Caenorhabditis elegans: one gene and its partner. The protein of the gene in region 1 purifies or fractionates together with the protein of each later gene. This does not show direct contact. Each region holds a gene or a part of one and is shown on either strand. Other genes may lie near its edges.

Region 1 (7,459 bases):
GGAGCTTCACTCATATCTTTTGTGATCGTTGATGTGTCATCATCTTCTTCTTCCTTGATGTCGTCTTTTGATGATTTTGCAGAGGATGCTTCATCATCGTCTTCATCCTGAACTTCTTCTTCTTCGCCAAAAGTCTCTTCAACTCCTGCAAAGTTCTCAATATCGTCAGCTTTCACTGGAGTAGATTGGTCAACTGGTGAACTATCATCCATTGGCTCCGGCTCTTCGACGGGCTCTTCAGCGGGCTCTTCGGCGGGCTCTTCAATTGTTCCAACAGATGGGATAGGATATTCCTCAGTATCTGCTGGTTCTTGTTGAGCTTCAACTTCCACGGGCTCGGGATCTACTGACACTTGTGGCTCTTCTTTCTCAATGTTTTCGTAATCATTCTGCTCAACTTGATCCAAAGGAGTTCCATTACTATAACCCGCTTCAGCACCTTCTTCATTCTTTACAAAATTATCAATTCCTGTATCATCTTCTAATAGATTCGAAGTTGATTGTTGATCCTCTTTAAATTCCACTTCATCTTTCAGTTCTTCAACTGGAATCGTTTCTTGAGAATACTCATACTTTGGTTCATCCTCTTCTATTATTGGTTCTTCTTTCGGAACGTCCTCTAGAATTTCCTGTTGATCACTAATTGCCTGAAGTTCTTGATCGTTTTGAGAAGACTGTGGCATTATCGGATCAGATACAGATGGAGATGGTATGGCTTCAGGAGCAACAGTAGGCTCTTGATATCCTGACGACGATGGAAAATCAGGAAACTCCGGGTAGGCGTTCTGCTGTTGAGATGATGTCGATGGAGTAGAAGTTGCCGGAATTTGGGCTTGACTCGGTGGTGCTGATTGATCCACTGATTGTGATGGTTCCATTGAAGCCGGCGCCGTACTAACACCGATACCGTATCCGGATGGGTGCTGCTGCTGTTGTTGGTTGGGTTGGGTTTGATGTTGGGATGGATGTTGCTGAGGATGATGTTGCATTGGGACCGAAGCAGGCTGTTGATGCTGGTGAGGATGTTGAGGTTGTTGCTGCTGTTGAGGATATCCAGACATCTGAAATATTCAAAAATTTAAGAATTAATTAGGAATTACAAGCTTACGTTCTGCTGATGTTGAGCATGCTGCTGCTGCTGCTGTTGATACTGTGCATACATCGGATGCTGCTGTTGTTGCTGAGCATACGGATTTCCAGAACCATTCTCCATTCCATTATACTGTTGCTGATACGGCGATGGTTTCTCTGGTTCCATCTTAACCTGTGGAGCATTTGGAACCGGTGATTCTTGCATAGACGGAGTTGGCTCAGGCGGCACAATAGATTCCTTGCTTTCAGTGGAGCTGGCTCCAGATCCCGCACCTCCGTAACCATCGTGGTAGACAGATATCAGTGTCCTCGTCTTATCAGCGGTTATATGAACTTGACTTCCAGGTTGATTCACATGAACTGGCACTGAGTTCGGATTCGATGGAATTTGATTCGATTGGGAAGACGTTGGTGGTGGTGGTCCTTGATGATGTCCGCCAGCAGATGCAGCTGCTGCGGCCGCCGCTGCAGCAGCAGCAGCTTGTTGTTGTTGTTGCTGCTGTTGCCACTGCACGTGTTGAAGCTGTTGGCTGTACCGATAATGATCACTTTGGAACTGAGCAAGTTTATGTTGCAGCTGTTGAACTTCTGCGTCAGCCGACGCACTTCGTTGCATATTGTAGAGTTGTTGAATTCGTGCCTTGCATTCTGCAGATGATTTTTCCACTTGAGCAATGACGTTCTGAAAAATAAGTGATTTAGTTTAGTTTTTATTTTTAAAATTTGAACCACAAACACATATTACGGGAACCCGAAATTCTGAGAATGCGTAATGCGCAACATATTTGACGCGCAGAATATCTCGTAGCGAAAACTACAGTAATTGTGTAAATGACTACTGTAGCTCTTATATCGATTTATGGGCTCGACTTTCGAAACGAGTATTCTATCGAGTAGCTACATACCATTTTCCTTCGCTTTTTCGTATTTTCTCATTTTTTGCTAATTTAAAAAATCGAGCCCTGTAAATCTACAGTATTCATTTAAATAATCACTGTAGTTTTCGCTACGAGATATTTTGCACATCAATTCAAAAAGACGAAAAATCCATTAAAATTTGAAATTCAAATATATTTTGAATGTTTGAAAAACATCGAATTTTGTTGGTTTTAGGCAATAATATTTTGACCGTATTGTAGGAAATTTCTTGCAAAATAGTCTAAAGAATTATACGTGAAACCTACAAAATTCAATTTTTCTCAAGTATCAAGATGAATTTGAATTTGTTTTTCAGAAGAGGCTTTATTTTGACTTTTCATTGTTTGTGTTTGCAATTTCTCGCATTTTCATTCCTACTACCAACTCACCATCAAATCATTGGTTCCAACTCTTCCCCATTGTTCCTGTTGTGCCATTTGCATTGATTGAGGCGCCGTCACAGGTCCACCTCCTTGCTGTTGCTGCTGTTGTGAAGGTGGTGGTCCACCGTAACCCTGATAACCATCCCAATATCCTGGTGGTGCCTGTTGTTGACTGTGTGGTGGATATTGATGCCTCATCTGTGGAGGAGGTCCCGCTTGTGGAGCATACGGTGATTGTTGGGAGGGTGGTGGTGGATATCCAGTGGATGCCTGTGGTGCATAACCATATGGACCATATCCGGGTGGCCCTTGGGCTTGTTGTTGGCCGGCTTGTTGTTGTTGAGCTCGTTGTTGATGGTACATTTGTTGATAGTTCTGAGGTGCTTGTGGCGGTGGTGGATATTGTCCTTGCGGTGGTGGTCCATTTGTTACGGGTCCTGGCCGGTACCCTTGTTGTGATGGACCATTGGATGATGGATAGTGTGGTGGTGGAACGCCGCCGTACATCGCCATTTGGTTCTGAAAATACTTTGAGAGGAGTCAGTGATATTCTTTAGATATTTAAATAAAATATTCATAATTTTAAAGGTCGAGTAGAGTCGTTTTGGGATTTTGTTTCAATTTGAAACTTTCAAATAATGGAAAATAGTCTGAAATGATCGAATATTTATATTTAAATAATTTAAATTTTAAAATTTTCGAGACAATTTAAAAAATTTTAACTTTTTAATATGTAGTCTATTATTTAAAACAAAATCCCAAAACTGCTCTTTTCTATCAATAAAGTTTTTAGGCAGTTTATTTCCAAGATTTTCCAAATAAACTACTTACCGGATATCCACCCTGTCTCATCATTGGATTATTCGACATTGCCGCCATCGACGCCATCGGATCCATCTGTGCAGCTGCTGCCGCCGCTGCAGCCGCCGCCGCTTCTGCCTGAGCCTTTTTTGATTTTCCACGTGCCTTTTTTGCAGGTGGTGGCTGAGCTGGCTGTGGTGGTACTTGTTGTGGTGGTGGAGCCATGTGCTGCATTTGATGTTGTTGCTGCATCATCATCATTTGATGATGCTGTTGTTGTTGTTCATATGGATTCATCGGTTGACCTGGATACCGTTGAGGAACGCCCTGCTGAGATTGTTGAGATTGTTGTGGTGGCGGGCCGCCCATCATTGTGTAATCTGCCATTTGGGACATTTGTGGAACGTAGTCGTCGCCTGCAAAAATTTTGAATAATTCCCAAAACTAGAATTCGATATTTTTTTTATTAAAATGATGATTAATTTTTCTTATGCAACAAAAAATGTAATATTACCTAGACTCTAAATTGTATGATCTTAAAAAAGGTATGCGCCTTCAAAGAGTACTGTAGTTGCAAACTCTCGTTGCTGCGGAATTTTCCTCGATTTTCAGTTTTTCTCACGATTTGTTAAAATTTATGTGATTTATTTTGGTTTTTTAGTAAATATATCAACTTTTAACGAGAAACTTTGAAGAATTCGTAGAAACGAAATTTTTGAGTTACAGTAATCTTTAAAGGCACATACACGTTTGTACTTAATAAAAAAAAAGTCGTGTCGAGACCCTAAACAGTAAAAATCGTTACATAAATGTTTCGATTGTAAAAATGCTAGAAATAGTTGCAAGACCCTTTGCACCTCTAAAGTGAATTACATTTTTCAAGAATCTACAATACTATAAAAAATTTCGAACTTAAATAAATTCAATTTTCAAATGTTTCCAAAAAGACTCACCTTCATCCATTTTGTGTGTTTGGTTATGTGGTTATAATGAGATTAACTTGTACAAAAAGAAAGCGAAAATATATAATTTAAAAAATCCAATTCTTCACAATGCGTCAGCTGTTTCTTTTTGAATTTGTATATTAATTCAGCAGCCTATCATCTGAAAATTAAAATAAATTAATAAATTTGAAATGTTGAGGACCGATTATTTCACTATTGATAGGAAAAAACAAAAGAAAAAAGAAAGATGGTAGTTCGAGATATAAAAGAAAAATATTATTTGATTTTTAGAAATTTAGCAGCACTTGGTCTCGACACGACTATTTTTTTAGATAAATACAAAAATATGTGCGCCTTTAAAGAGTATTGTAGTTTCAAAAACATAATTTAAATACATTTTTCATAGTTTTTCTTATGATTTCTTAAAAATGTTTGGGTTGTAATAAATACATGTTTATCGAAAAGAAAAAGAAATATCGATAAAAATTCCGATATTGAAGTTACAGTACTCTTTAAAGGAGCATTTTTCCAAAGAAAAATTGTCGTGTCGAGACCGGGTACCGTATTTTTGAAATGCGCTTCGTTGCGAACAAAAAATATTGAACTTTTGAATCGGGCTACAAGGTTTTCAGAATAAATAATATATTATGGAATCGAATGGAGACATAAATGGAAGGAAGTATCTAGAACCAAAAGACGCGAATTTTTTTTGCAAAAAAGATGTTATCGTCAACAGTCATCATCAACCAAAAAAGGCCAGAAAAAACCCAAAGAAAGGAAGTTTTTTTGTTCTTCAAAAAAAAACGAATCTTCGTTTTCAATTTGATGGTGAGTGTATGTGTGTGTGTAGTGCGTATGCAATGGCAATGAGAAAAAAAAACGGGGGGACGAATGAGTAGAGTGAGAGTTCATGGGAATAGTATTATAGTATACGAGATGCAGACATGGCAAGACGAAAAGGAATAAGAAGAAGAAGAACACAAGAAACGGACACACAGACCAGGACACTTCTCTCGACTCTCTTACTCTCTCCTTCTCACACATTGCCCACTGTCTAATGTCTCTCTCCGAGCTTGAGCACTCTCTCATCATCTCTTGCTGTTTGGTCGTCTCTTCTTCTCTCTCAACTCTTCTAATCGATTCTAGCACACACACAGAGAAAGAGGGTTAGATGTAGAAAGTAGAGGTGCTATGTGTGTGGGGTGGACCCCCTCTTGGTCGCTGCTGGGACATTTGTGTCCCCTTCCCGGTATGTTGTTGATGATGATGATGATGAGGATGGAGGACGCCGGACGGATCGAGTCGAGGAGGAGATGGAGGACGGCGGTGGTGGTGGTGGTTGACCAAGATGAAATTGAAGATGATGATGAAGGTTTTGGTTTTTGGAGATGAGTAGAAGGAGAAAAACGAGGATAAGTGTTTTTTTTCACATACAATTCATTCTTTTATCGAAGAAACGAAGCGAACAAGTGATTAACTGCGTCTCGATTAACCAGACTGACCATTCTAAAGATGAAACCATGGTTACTGTAAGCCCTACTGTCAAGTTTTTGTTCTGGAAAATTTTTTTTTTCGAAAATAAATATAGTTTTAAACAAATTCAGTAACTGGAATATCTAAATACAATAGACTTTCAAAATCAGGAAAACGGAAGAAAAAGAAACAGAAGATTTCGTGCTGAGACCTAACATTTGGGCATTCACAATAATTGATGTATTTTCATTTTAAAAAATTCATTTCCCCCTCAAACATTTTTTTACAAATTTGTTGAACCCAAAAACTCTTAAAAACTACTAAATATCTTTCAAATTATCGAGAAAACTTTCGATCAATCTTGAAGCAAAAACAGATAAAACCAACATAAACTGCAGACCTGATAATGAGAAAACCCAATTGGCCAGCCACATGACATCAAACAACAGATGAATTCTACGTCACAAACTTTCATATTCATCAGTAGACGAAAAATGAATCAGTTCATTTAGCTCTAGATATTTATTTGATCAGCGGACTCGACTCGCTAGCTAAAATGAAACATCGCAGTAGTACAGATTTTCAGAATTTTTTTTTCCGAATTCTACGGAAGTAATGGAAAACATAGGAACTTCCTAATCACACAAGATGATACAACGCCAAAGTTGGCATTTTGCCAAGTTGGCCAGTAGAGACTCTGTGCGAGAGAAAAAGAGAGAACGTTGGCAATTTGCCAAGCTGTTCAAATGGACGGAAAGGACGCGCCGACGACATTGGCCCCCAGAAAATGGTGAAGCCGTCGAGACAGGGACCGATTTATTTACTCTTACGAAGTACCGCATATTTTAATCAGGAAATTCCAGTCAAAAGAAAAGTAGCGGAAAATTTGAAATTTTAAGGGCGGAAGATATTGTCTAGAACCTGGTTTTAGGCTCTCCAATTACGGTTTGATCTACAGAAAAATCGGAATTTTTAATTCAGAAAAATGTGATGTCATCTAAATTCCCACAATTCTGGTAGATCAAACCGAAAGGGAGAACTCTGACACTACTGGTCAAGTACATTTCAGTTCGGCATATGGAATTCTCCATATACAGATCCCCTGAACATGAGTTTGATAAATAATAATGATATCAGAAAAAAAGTCGTTATCCAAATCCGAAAATCCCACAAAATACCAATAGGAAAAATATGATTTAAAAAAGAAAAAAGGAAGAAGCATGTGCAACTTGGTTTTTGCTGTGTTGTCTATCGGTGAGTGTTATTGGCCAACAACCCTTTCCCCTCTCTACACCACAAAAACGCGCACAATCTCTTTCTGTCCGTCTCTCTACTCTCCAATAGTCTATCATCTGCTCTTCTCAATTTCACCTGTTCTCTGATCATGTTCTGACCACTACTCTGCGTCGTCGTCTCTTCCACCTCCTCCTTCCTTCCATTTCTACTAACCAATACTACTATTACGAGAGAGAGAGAGAGAGGGAGAGAGAGAGCGTGCTGCTGCTGCTGATGCTTGCCTTGCGCAGACCTCTTTTTCTGTGTGAGCGGTGGAGTGTGCGCAAAGAAGGAACTCATAAAACACTCACACGTTGTTCCCCCCGTTTGGTCCTCCCAATTCAACCACCCAGAGGTGCGCCCCCAGACGTTTTGGTTATGAGCGGCCAAAGGTGTGTATGTGTGTGTGTTTGAGAGTGAGCGCAGTGTGAGCGTCGTCTGTGTGTGTTCTGTTTAAATGAGAAAAAGAGCGGTTTTTGCTTTTCACCGCCGATTGGTACCCCCCTAAATGAATGATAGTGACATAGTGAGAAAGAGAGAGAGCATCATCACTGATAAGAAATGATAAGACAA
Region 2 (9,381 bases), on another chromosome or scaffold:
TCGGCATACCATGATCGGCAAAAATTGAGTATTTGTTTTCGAATGTTAAAAACTTCAAAAATATTTTTTAAAGCTTTACCTAAATTTTTCTAGACATTTTAGCAATGTACAAGTTATTTCAAACATTGTTCTTACTGGAACCAGAAATAAACTTTGAAAAAATGTTTCACGAGTACTTCGGCGGAATGTAGACACGTTCTATTATGCCAACTGAGCCAAACAAACTCAAATATCATCAAAAAGTCCAAAAACTCAACTCAATTCTAACATCCGTCTCTAAAATTGCTCGAAGGAATGTGTTTCTAATAAATATATAATGACATTCAAATTAAAAGCATATGCGGACATTCATAAAAATTTTGTGTGTTGTTTTAAGATTAACGCATACATAATTTGATTATAGAATTTTATTAAGGAAAAATTAGAGCTCAAAAAAAGCTCAAAAACACACTGTTAAGTTAACTATCAACACGTTATTACTGTTGTTTAAACGACCCGAATATTTAACAACGTCATACAATGAAAGAAGTTTGTGAGGGGGGAAGAATGACAAAAAATATGACAAAATTAAACAATAATCTCTCGAACGATTCGTCGATCTTCATCACTGTTCTCCAGTACATCACCGTTTGTAAAGCCGGATAGTGAAGTATCTGAAAGTTGAATCGTTTGGTCTACAAAAATTGCGGCAGGATTTAACAAGTGCGTCTGTAAGTTATATAGCCACCCGTGGTGTCAGAGTGTCTCATTTCGGTTTGATCTACGTAGATCTGAAAGAACGCGAGAGTTGCGACGTAGAGTTCTCATCAGATTTTGCATGGTTAAGAACGTGCTGACGTCACATTTTTTGGCCAAAACGTTCCCGCATGTTTTGTAGATTAAACCGTAATGACACAGCCTGACACCACGTGTAGCCAGCTACCAATTAAGTTCACTGTATGGCTAAAATGGAATAAAGCATAATTACTTAAATGGGCAATTGCATTTATCAGTCAATCGGGAATTGGGCAATAAGTTAGTAGTAGGGTTATTGATTTTATTATAGTGCAGAAAATATTCAAGAAAATTCGATCTACTTACCAATTAATCTTTTTACATATCTAGGAAATAGAATTTTCTAACTCACTTTTTAAAACTTCTGTATTTTCTTGTAAATAACAATCTGTGGACACATCATATTCCATATTCAAACCGGGCGGTTTCGTCGACTTTGCATCATGTTGACTAAAACTTTTGAAGTTATTCGAATTTAAATATTCTCCTAACCTCAAATGATTAGTTTCGTTTTCCGTTATTGCAAATGTTGCGTGCTTTGGTTCTTCATAATCTGCAGGCCTTTTCAATTCATCTCCAGGTAGGGAAGTAAGAATGATTGGCCTAAAAATGAGTAAAGTAGGAAAACATATATTTTAATTTTTTTTGCTTACGAAAGTTTTGAAGTTTTTGGATTTGATCGAGTTTTGCAGCAGACAAGGAAGAATACGCAGATAGCAAGACCAATGAAAATGAAGAATAAAAATGGGAAAAACACGTTGGTCTTCCAAACTGAACCAGAACCGCTTGCTGAAATTTTATTTTGGCTTCAGACTAAACTTCACATTAAAAAAAAACTTACAAATAGTTTTAGAAACTGGTGAGCATTTAAGTCCATTAGCAGTTGTGCAGAACCTTGCTCTATATTCTCTTCCAGGAATGATATTTCCGATAGGGTTGCTTGATGTATGGCAAGTGCTGGTTCTCCATATTCCATCAAGAAATACGTAGAGCAATGTGCAAGCATCCGATGGTAGTTTTGGCTGAAAATATTGACTAGTTTTTTTTCACGATTCAGTCATTGTGCATAGTCAATATCACGAAGTGAGCAACAAACTGCATAACTAGCACTATTCCGTAAAAATGCCCCTTGGATTTCCAATATCCAGAGTCTGCCATTTACCCACCTCAACATTAATCTTCTGTTCACTGGAATCCAGAACTAGGCGGCTTGGGGACATCATGTTCGCGTCTTCAACGACGTCTTCAGTGGAGGCAATTAGAACCGGCGTAAATTCCGATTCGCCTTTCTCGCTAACAGCTTGAATGCGTAAATTGTAAGTGGATAATGGGGTAAGCCCGGTGAAGTTGAAGATGTTCTTCGACACTAGCGTGCCGTCGATCTGCGATAAAAATGGAGATGATTATGAGTGTTTTAATGGCGGTAATGGAATAGTTTCTGGTCGTATTTTTGAATTGGTCAGTATAAAAAAGAGTGGAATCTAGATGTTTCTGAGACGGATGTAATAAATAAATAGGTTTTTTTTAAAGTTGGTTGGTGCAACGTAATAAAAATCTGTTGGTGCGTAACCCCGTTATATATTTCCAAATCAATCTACCAACCTCCTGATCTTGTTGCACGGCATTAATATTCAGCTTTGACACTGGAGCATTTCCGTCGATTTCTCCAGTGAATGGGTCAATCTTCCTTGTTTCCAGCACATACGTTTGATCAGCACCTCCGTCAAATTGTGGGACCCATCCAAGCAGAACAGAGTTTGAAGTAGCCGACAGCTTTTGAAGGTCCAATGGAAGTGCTGGTGGACTAGTCTTTCTCAATTCAATCACAACATGGTCGCCGCCATTGCCATTTGTTGCTCGGCACACGTACTCTCCGTAATCGGATTCTTGCACACTTTCAATTTGGAGCAATTGCTCGTATTCATCAGGTTTTCCAGTGATTCCGACAGTATGGAACGAGTGTCTCTCATTTTCGGAAATTTCCGAGTCTCTAAACATCCAATGAAACTCTGGCTCTGGTCTCGCAGAGACTTTGCAACGGATGATTGCTTGGGATCCAATATCAGCAGCGGCTAGTGACTTTTCTGGGAACTTCCTGTTTAAGAACACCGGCTTATGAAGAACTCGAACAATTGTCCACGAGCTGCTGTCTTTATCGGTTTTGTCAGACCCATTATCAGCCACACATGTAAAATTTCCTTTGTCCGACCATTTCAGAGGACCCGCAAGTGTCAAGGTACTAGCAACCGTCTGAGTACAGAAATCCTCTGGAAGGCATTTTGATTCGGATGTTGCAGATGAAGCGTAGATGCTCTGTTTTACTGGACGCCCATCTTTCAGCCATTTGATAACAGGAGATGGATATCCTTGAGCCTCACACTCCAGTATTTTCCCTTGTTCTCCAGATGTGAAAATTCGCTCAGTGGCAAGGGGACTAGAAATTCGAGCTTTTTCAATGACCTGAAACAAATAGGTTGGTTATGAGAAACTACAGTATTAATTATCTTACCGTGATCATTACTGTTCCAATTTTTCCTTCTCCTAGATCGTTGTATGCCTTGCAAGAATATACGCCATTATCCGATAACTGAGCATTCCTGACTTCAAATGACTTTTCTGTGTGGCCTTCCAAGCCGAAAATTCCACCGGATGATGGAGAAGCCCACTATAAGAATTTTCCTAAAATTCGGAGAACATTTCAAGCCAAACTCACCGTATAAGAAGCACTCGGATTTCCTGCATCTTCAGCTTGACACATCAACTTGATAGTCTCTCCAACATCTACGTTCTGTCGAGCACTAACAATTTGAGCCTGACCAGGCTTTCGCTTGACGTCAACAATTGTCGTTCCTGTGCCCATTCGTTGCTGTGACCCAGAATGTCCGTAGACTGTCAAAAAGTTGGTCGCCATACATGTGTAATTTCCACTTTGCGCTCTAAATTGGAATTTTTTAAAGTGAAATTCGAGAAAAAATATTTTTACTTTGAAATTGATGTAATTGTCAATCTGGACCCATTCTGCTTGAAACCATTTGGTCCAACCCATTTGATATCAATGACTTCTGGAACTGCACTGACTTCACACAGAATATCAATATCTTCCATTTCGTTAGGGCTGATTGACTCCTGAAAAAGTTGTTATAAAAATTTTTTTTTTAAGTATTTGGTTTGTTATGTTATAGCCAGATATTGACCGGGTAGTTTTTTGTTAAAAAATTATTTGGGTTCGCGATTATTCCAACAGTATAATCAAAACTAACCGGAACATTAATTCTTGGTATGTGCTGTACAACCATTTTCAAAACAGCTGTGCCTTCTCCCAGTTCATTTGTCGATCTACACTCGAAATCTCCGCTCATTGAGCTGTCAACTCGGATTGGCCAGATTTTTCCCTGATATCGTTCCCCTGACGCAATATGCTTCCATTCATAACTATGAGCTGGGGGATTTGAAGCTGAGTTGCAAGTTAAATTGACCAGCTCTCCTTCTTCTACTGACAAGTGAGTGAGGTTTTCGGTTGGCGTTACGAAGACGACTGGTTTGTAGAGCACGTTAAGCTGGGAACTTTTCACTTGTTTTGTTTCTCCGCCAAGCATGGCTCTGTTAGTGACGTCACACTGCACGGATTTTCCGTCATCGCTTGAGGTTACGCGGAAACTGAAATAATTGAATTGTTAGTAGAATTTTAAAGGGAGGTTATTTAAATTATAATCTAATTTTTTTTAAACTCACTGTAACAAACTTTCGGTTGCACCGTCCCTAAACTGAGTTGTAAAAATAGCTGAACTCGCAATTGTATCATTCGGTAGTGTCCATCTGAAAAAAATTACTTCTAACAATCCCCGAACTTTTCGAGAACTCACGTGAATGTTGGCTGTGGGCTTCCACCAACCGAGACACACTTGGCAGTCATAAAGTCTCCTTCAATTACGCTCTCGGAAGGTGTAGTGCTAATAATTGGGTCACCAGGTGGAACTGAAATATGTATTTCATTATTTGACATGAACATGAGTGGTAGTAATTATTTTGAAATTGACTTGTTGCGTTGAAATACGATATGGTTGGTTTTCTGGTTTTCTATTAAATTTTACTTTTTAGTTCATTTCTGGAAAATTGTTCTGAACAAAGAAATTAGTACCAGCAAAAAAAATTGAATGGAGATGTTTCCGGTCGCACTGACAATTTTTAGTGACACAAACAATCAAGCGAGCACCGACCAAGTTTATCAAGGCGCTGCTCAAACTTAACAATGCAGTGACCAACTTGAGTTATGCACTGACAAAATTGAAAAATGCTATAATTTTAAATAAGTAATTATTGAGTAATGCTACTTGAAAGTAATTTTCTAGCCTAACCCTGTTATTCTATGTATATCGGGAAAACTTAAAATTGTTTTATCTCCTCCATAAAACAAAAACGGTCACCAAAATAACGTTTCTAATTCAATACTATATTTTCATTTTTGTTCTAGGAAATTACTTCCAACAAAAAGGTCAGCATTATTAGTGCCAGCCTACTGCGCATAGGTCAATAATTGGCAGTTGTCATGCACAAAAAAAAGTACAAGTGGTAATGGGTTTGGAAAGAATAACTGGACAGTGACAAAATTGATAAATGCACTGATTAGTATGAGCGGTGCACTGACAAAGTTATCATTGAAGAATGTTAATTCAGGTAGTTAAACTGGGGTTTAACAACAATTTTTCTGGAGAAAGAACAATATTTGATCGCATATTTGAAAATCACCTTATCAATTGAAAAATGCTAATCTCTTACCTAAAACAACAACGGTCGCCAGCGCGGAGTACTGCACATCCGAATCATCTGTTCCAATTACATTACAATGGTAAGTCCCTTCGACACTATTCTTTTCCACTTCAGTGATTCGAAGGCTATAGTTTCCTGTCGCCGAATCATTCTCCAAAATGAACCTTGAATGCTTTTTTGCGAGAAGTTTGTCGTTTTTCGTGATCATTCTATAATATTGACATTGCAATTATGAAGTTGATGGGATTCGGAGAATAGAAATGAGAAGTTTCATTTTAACCACTGTTAGAGTGAAGCATGAAATTGGTGAGAAACTTATTGAAAACATAAATTTGAAATTTGAAAAATGCTCACCTCAACTGTCCATTATTGTACCTCGCCCAGTTGATTTCATACTTTTGTCTGTCAAAATACTCTGGTTTCACGACACATGGGATGACAATTCCCTCATTTCCTTCTTGGAGAAAATACGGTTCCGAGCTGGGTTCTTTTAAGAACACATCTGATGAATCTGAAATTGTCAATAAATTTTTTGTTAAAAATTTTTCGAATTTCAATTACCTGCACTATTGGTGAGTTGCACTAAAAATAAGAAAAATAGGAAAAATAACCGCTTCCCTCCCATCTGGTTGGTAGAATTCCTCTGAAATTATTTAAACTTTGTAAGACTGTATTAAACAAAAAAAATAATGAGAATGAAAAGGATTACAAGAAGTTGAACATTGAATTGAAAATGAAAAACAAGACAGAAAGTATCAAAATATCATTAAATGACCTTTTGAAAATAATCGAATTTGATTTAAAAAAACAATCAGAAGGGTTTTTTTTCAAAATTAGTGAACTTTTTTCAAGGTCTATGAAAACAAAGTCCAAATCTCAGGCCTATGCTTAGGCTCAATATTAAGTGTGGGCTTAAGCATAGGGCTAGGCCTTAGACTTTATATTTTTAGACTTTTGAAATGAAATAGTTTTTGAGATGACATAAATTCGCTTACTGAAAGATAACACTGGATTTTAAATCCTCTATACGCAAAAAAAACCAAAAAGCACAAAAAGTGTAACATAAGGGTGTTCAATTTCACACCAATATTTCCACATGGTTGCTCCGCAACTCTCAGATATCCAAAATTCTATTTCAAATCTTTCAAGTGAAACTAAGTAAAAAAGAGAAAAAATAAGCACGAAAATTAGACAGGCCGAATCAAAGAAAAAGAACCGATGGAACTGGTTGAATGTGGGAGAATTGGAGGCAAAAAAAAGATCGTGAAGATTAGTATTTAGTTCGGCAACAGCCTTCTCCTCCCGTAGTCGGGAAATGACACATTTGTTGGAAGATGGGGAGAATGGAGGAATTAAAATTTAGAAGTTTGCAACTTAGATACTCTCGATTTCAAAGAAACTCACACATTGGCGGCATGTTGAGTGCAACAAGCGTTGGTTTAGTTAGGAATAACATGCATAGTATTACTGTATTTCTGGTTGTTTTGGGTTTGTGCCAAAAAAATATATTCAAAATTTTCTTGCAATTCGATGATTCGGCAATTGCCGAGTTTTAACATATTTGGTAACTGCCGAAATTTTTTTTATTATTTTTCAACAGCCCGATGATTCAAAAATTAGGCAATTTAACATTTATCGAGTACAAAAATCACAAAACAATTCAAAAAATCAGCTAAAACTAATTTGTTCTGTAATTTTTCCCAACTCTGAATATCTGAAAATTGGATCACAAATTTGCAAACTTTCTGATCAAAAATGCACTAGCAATGCATATAATTTGTTAAAATAATACAAAACCCAGCACACCGGCACAATAGCAGTAATTAGCTGGGTTTGACATACCTTGAAAAGGGGGGGGGGTATTGTCTAAACTAATAAAACCAAGGCAACCACCATGTGTGGAACACAAATTTGTCGCAATTCATATTGAAAAGCTGTCAGAATGGCAATGAGGTGAGGGGACGTGCTTTTGGAGGCTACTCTACCTAACCACCATGTCCGCGATTATTTTTCGGAGAGAGGGAGACCGAGAGAGAGAAAAGGGACTGACTGTGGCTAATTATGAGACGTAATTACGGGGGGTGCGACGCGAAGGACTTAGAAACAAATAAATGGTAGGGGCGAACGAAAGAACATACAGCCCCACCGACAATTCATTCACACAAGCCCCAGCAGCACCAATTAAAAATTCGTTAGCCGGTGTTCCTATTTAGTTGTTTTTGGTTTCAGATTCCGCTTGTTTTGGAATTGTTGGAAGCCGAAAATTGGCAGCTTCAAAACGTTAATTATGACAATGTTTAAGCTGAACGGGGATGGAACATATAACACAGCTTAAACAGGCTATTATAAATCGAGAAGATGGCTATACATATGTATGTTTGGTGATTAACCAGCGTTATGTATGAAATTGTCTTTTCAAAGCCTTCAAGTTGAACATTTAATTTAATAAAATTAAACAAAAACGGAATCAGACGACAATTATGCCGGACAAAAGTGACATTATATTTGGTGATTGACTGGGGTTTCCAAGTTTTGTGATTTATATTCATAGCGATGGCTACAAAAAATAATGGCTTTTTAGAATAGGATTTGAAAAATGTAAGAATCAAGCTAAAAGCATAAGAATTAGTTTAACAAGCAACTTTTACTCTCTAATTTCCTGTCAAGCCTAAAATTTTTTTTACAAAAATAGTCTCAAAGCTTTTCTTTTCTCTTAATCTCAAGACAAAAGCCCAATAGCTCAATTTCGCCACCACGCTTGGCTCTAATTATGAAAACAGTTAAAATAATTCAATCAAAATACCCATTTATTTCCCTCACACCACCCGAACATAAATCTCCTCATTTAAGTGTACACCTGATCCAGATAGAGATTTAGTAGAAATGTGAGCCGGGCCTACAGCTCAGGTAGCACCTGGACACCTTTTCTTAATCCTAAAATGGGGGATTTTAGTGCAACTGGGGAAGGGGGAAGGGGTGCTAATAATAATTTTTGGTTTTGGGTAGTAATTGTAATGAGGAAGACAGGACACAAACCTAGAAAAAAGGGAAATGTGATGCGAGGTTTGTTCTGAATCAGTATTTGAGAACTTATTCAGATATCATAATTAAACAGTTATATGTAAATTTAGTTAGTAACAAAACAATGATTTAAAATGTTAACTAATTTTGCAATGACCGCAACGCAAAGGTGAGAAAAAACCACTCGTGCGTGTGAAAAACCACTTATTGAATTACCGAATTTCAATTTTTTTTTTGAAAAACAAAAACAAAGCCAAATAGGAATTTTTCAAATTAATTACATTTTCAAATTTCAAAAAATTGAGCGTTATTTTTTTAATATTTACCAAGTGCCACATTATAAAACTTCAAAACCCATTCAAAAAGTGTCAAGAAACAGAGAAAACGCCGAGAATGGTAAGAAGTAGTGGGCAGCAGGAGAGCAACAGGAGCCCACCAAAGGTAAATAGTGTGGGGGGGGGGGGGGGACGCTGACCTGTAGCTGAGTGTGCAGCCGAGCAGCAGAATAGGAACGAATAAATTTGACGGTAGAGACGGTGAGAGAGAGGGGACTTGTTTGGTTCCCGTTGCGGTGGTGCGCGGGAAGAGCCTACCATGTTTTTGTGCGGCGAATTGTGAATTGCTTTTCTTTTTTCTTCATTTTTATTGGAACTGGAAGTCGAACTAGGGTCTCGAATTACAATATGATGTTTCTGTTTTGTTCTTTTATTGTTTCCGGAACTTTGCTTTATGTCTTTATTCTGGATGCTCTCAATGGCAAGCATTTTGCAAATGTGTTGAATAATGTCAGGGTAAAACAAAATGCTTACAAACAAACTA

Evidence for each region.
Region 2: the proteins of chd-7 (region 1) and igcm-1 fractionate together in Caenorhabditis elegans (co-fractionation; one large-scale study listed by BioGRID). This does not show direct contact.

Annotation. Positions count from the first base shown.
Region 1 is NC_003279.8:4,694,278-4,701,736, forward strand, and holds the start of chd-7 (Chromodomain and Helicase Domain protein), read right to left. Parts: upstream 4,299-7,459; 5' UTR 4,158-4,298; coding exon 4,148-4,157; intron 3,611-4,147; coding exon 3,225-3,610; intron 2,913-3,224; coding exon 2,400-2,912; intron 1,775-2,399; coding exon 1,109-1,774; intron 1,062-1,108; coding exon 1-1,061.
Region 2 is NC_003284.9:845,336-854,716, forward strand, and holds igcm-1 (B-cell receptor CD22-like), read right to left. Parts: upstream 6,187-9,381; 5' UTR 6,167-6,186; coding exon 6,103-6,166; intron 6,053-6,102; coding exon 5,896-6,052; intron 5,751-5,895; coding exon 5,551-5,750; intron 4,750-5,550; coding exon 4,638-4,749; intron 4,591-4,637; coding exon 4,507-4,590; intron 4,432-4,506; coding exon 4,035-4,431; intron 3,901-4,034; coding exon 3,758-3,900; intron 3,711-3,757; coding exon 3,488-3,710; intron 3,440-3,487; coding exon 3,284-3,439; intron 3,235-3,283; coding exon 2,377-3,234; intron 2,157-2,376; coding exon 1,941-2,156; intron 1,797-1,940; coding exon 1,616-1,796; intron 1,564-1,615; coding exon 1,428-1,563; intron 1,378-1,427; coding exon 1,267-1,377; intron 1,225-1,266; coding exon 1,127-1,224; intron 654-1,126; coding exon 568-653; 3' UTR 396-567; downstream 1-395.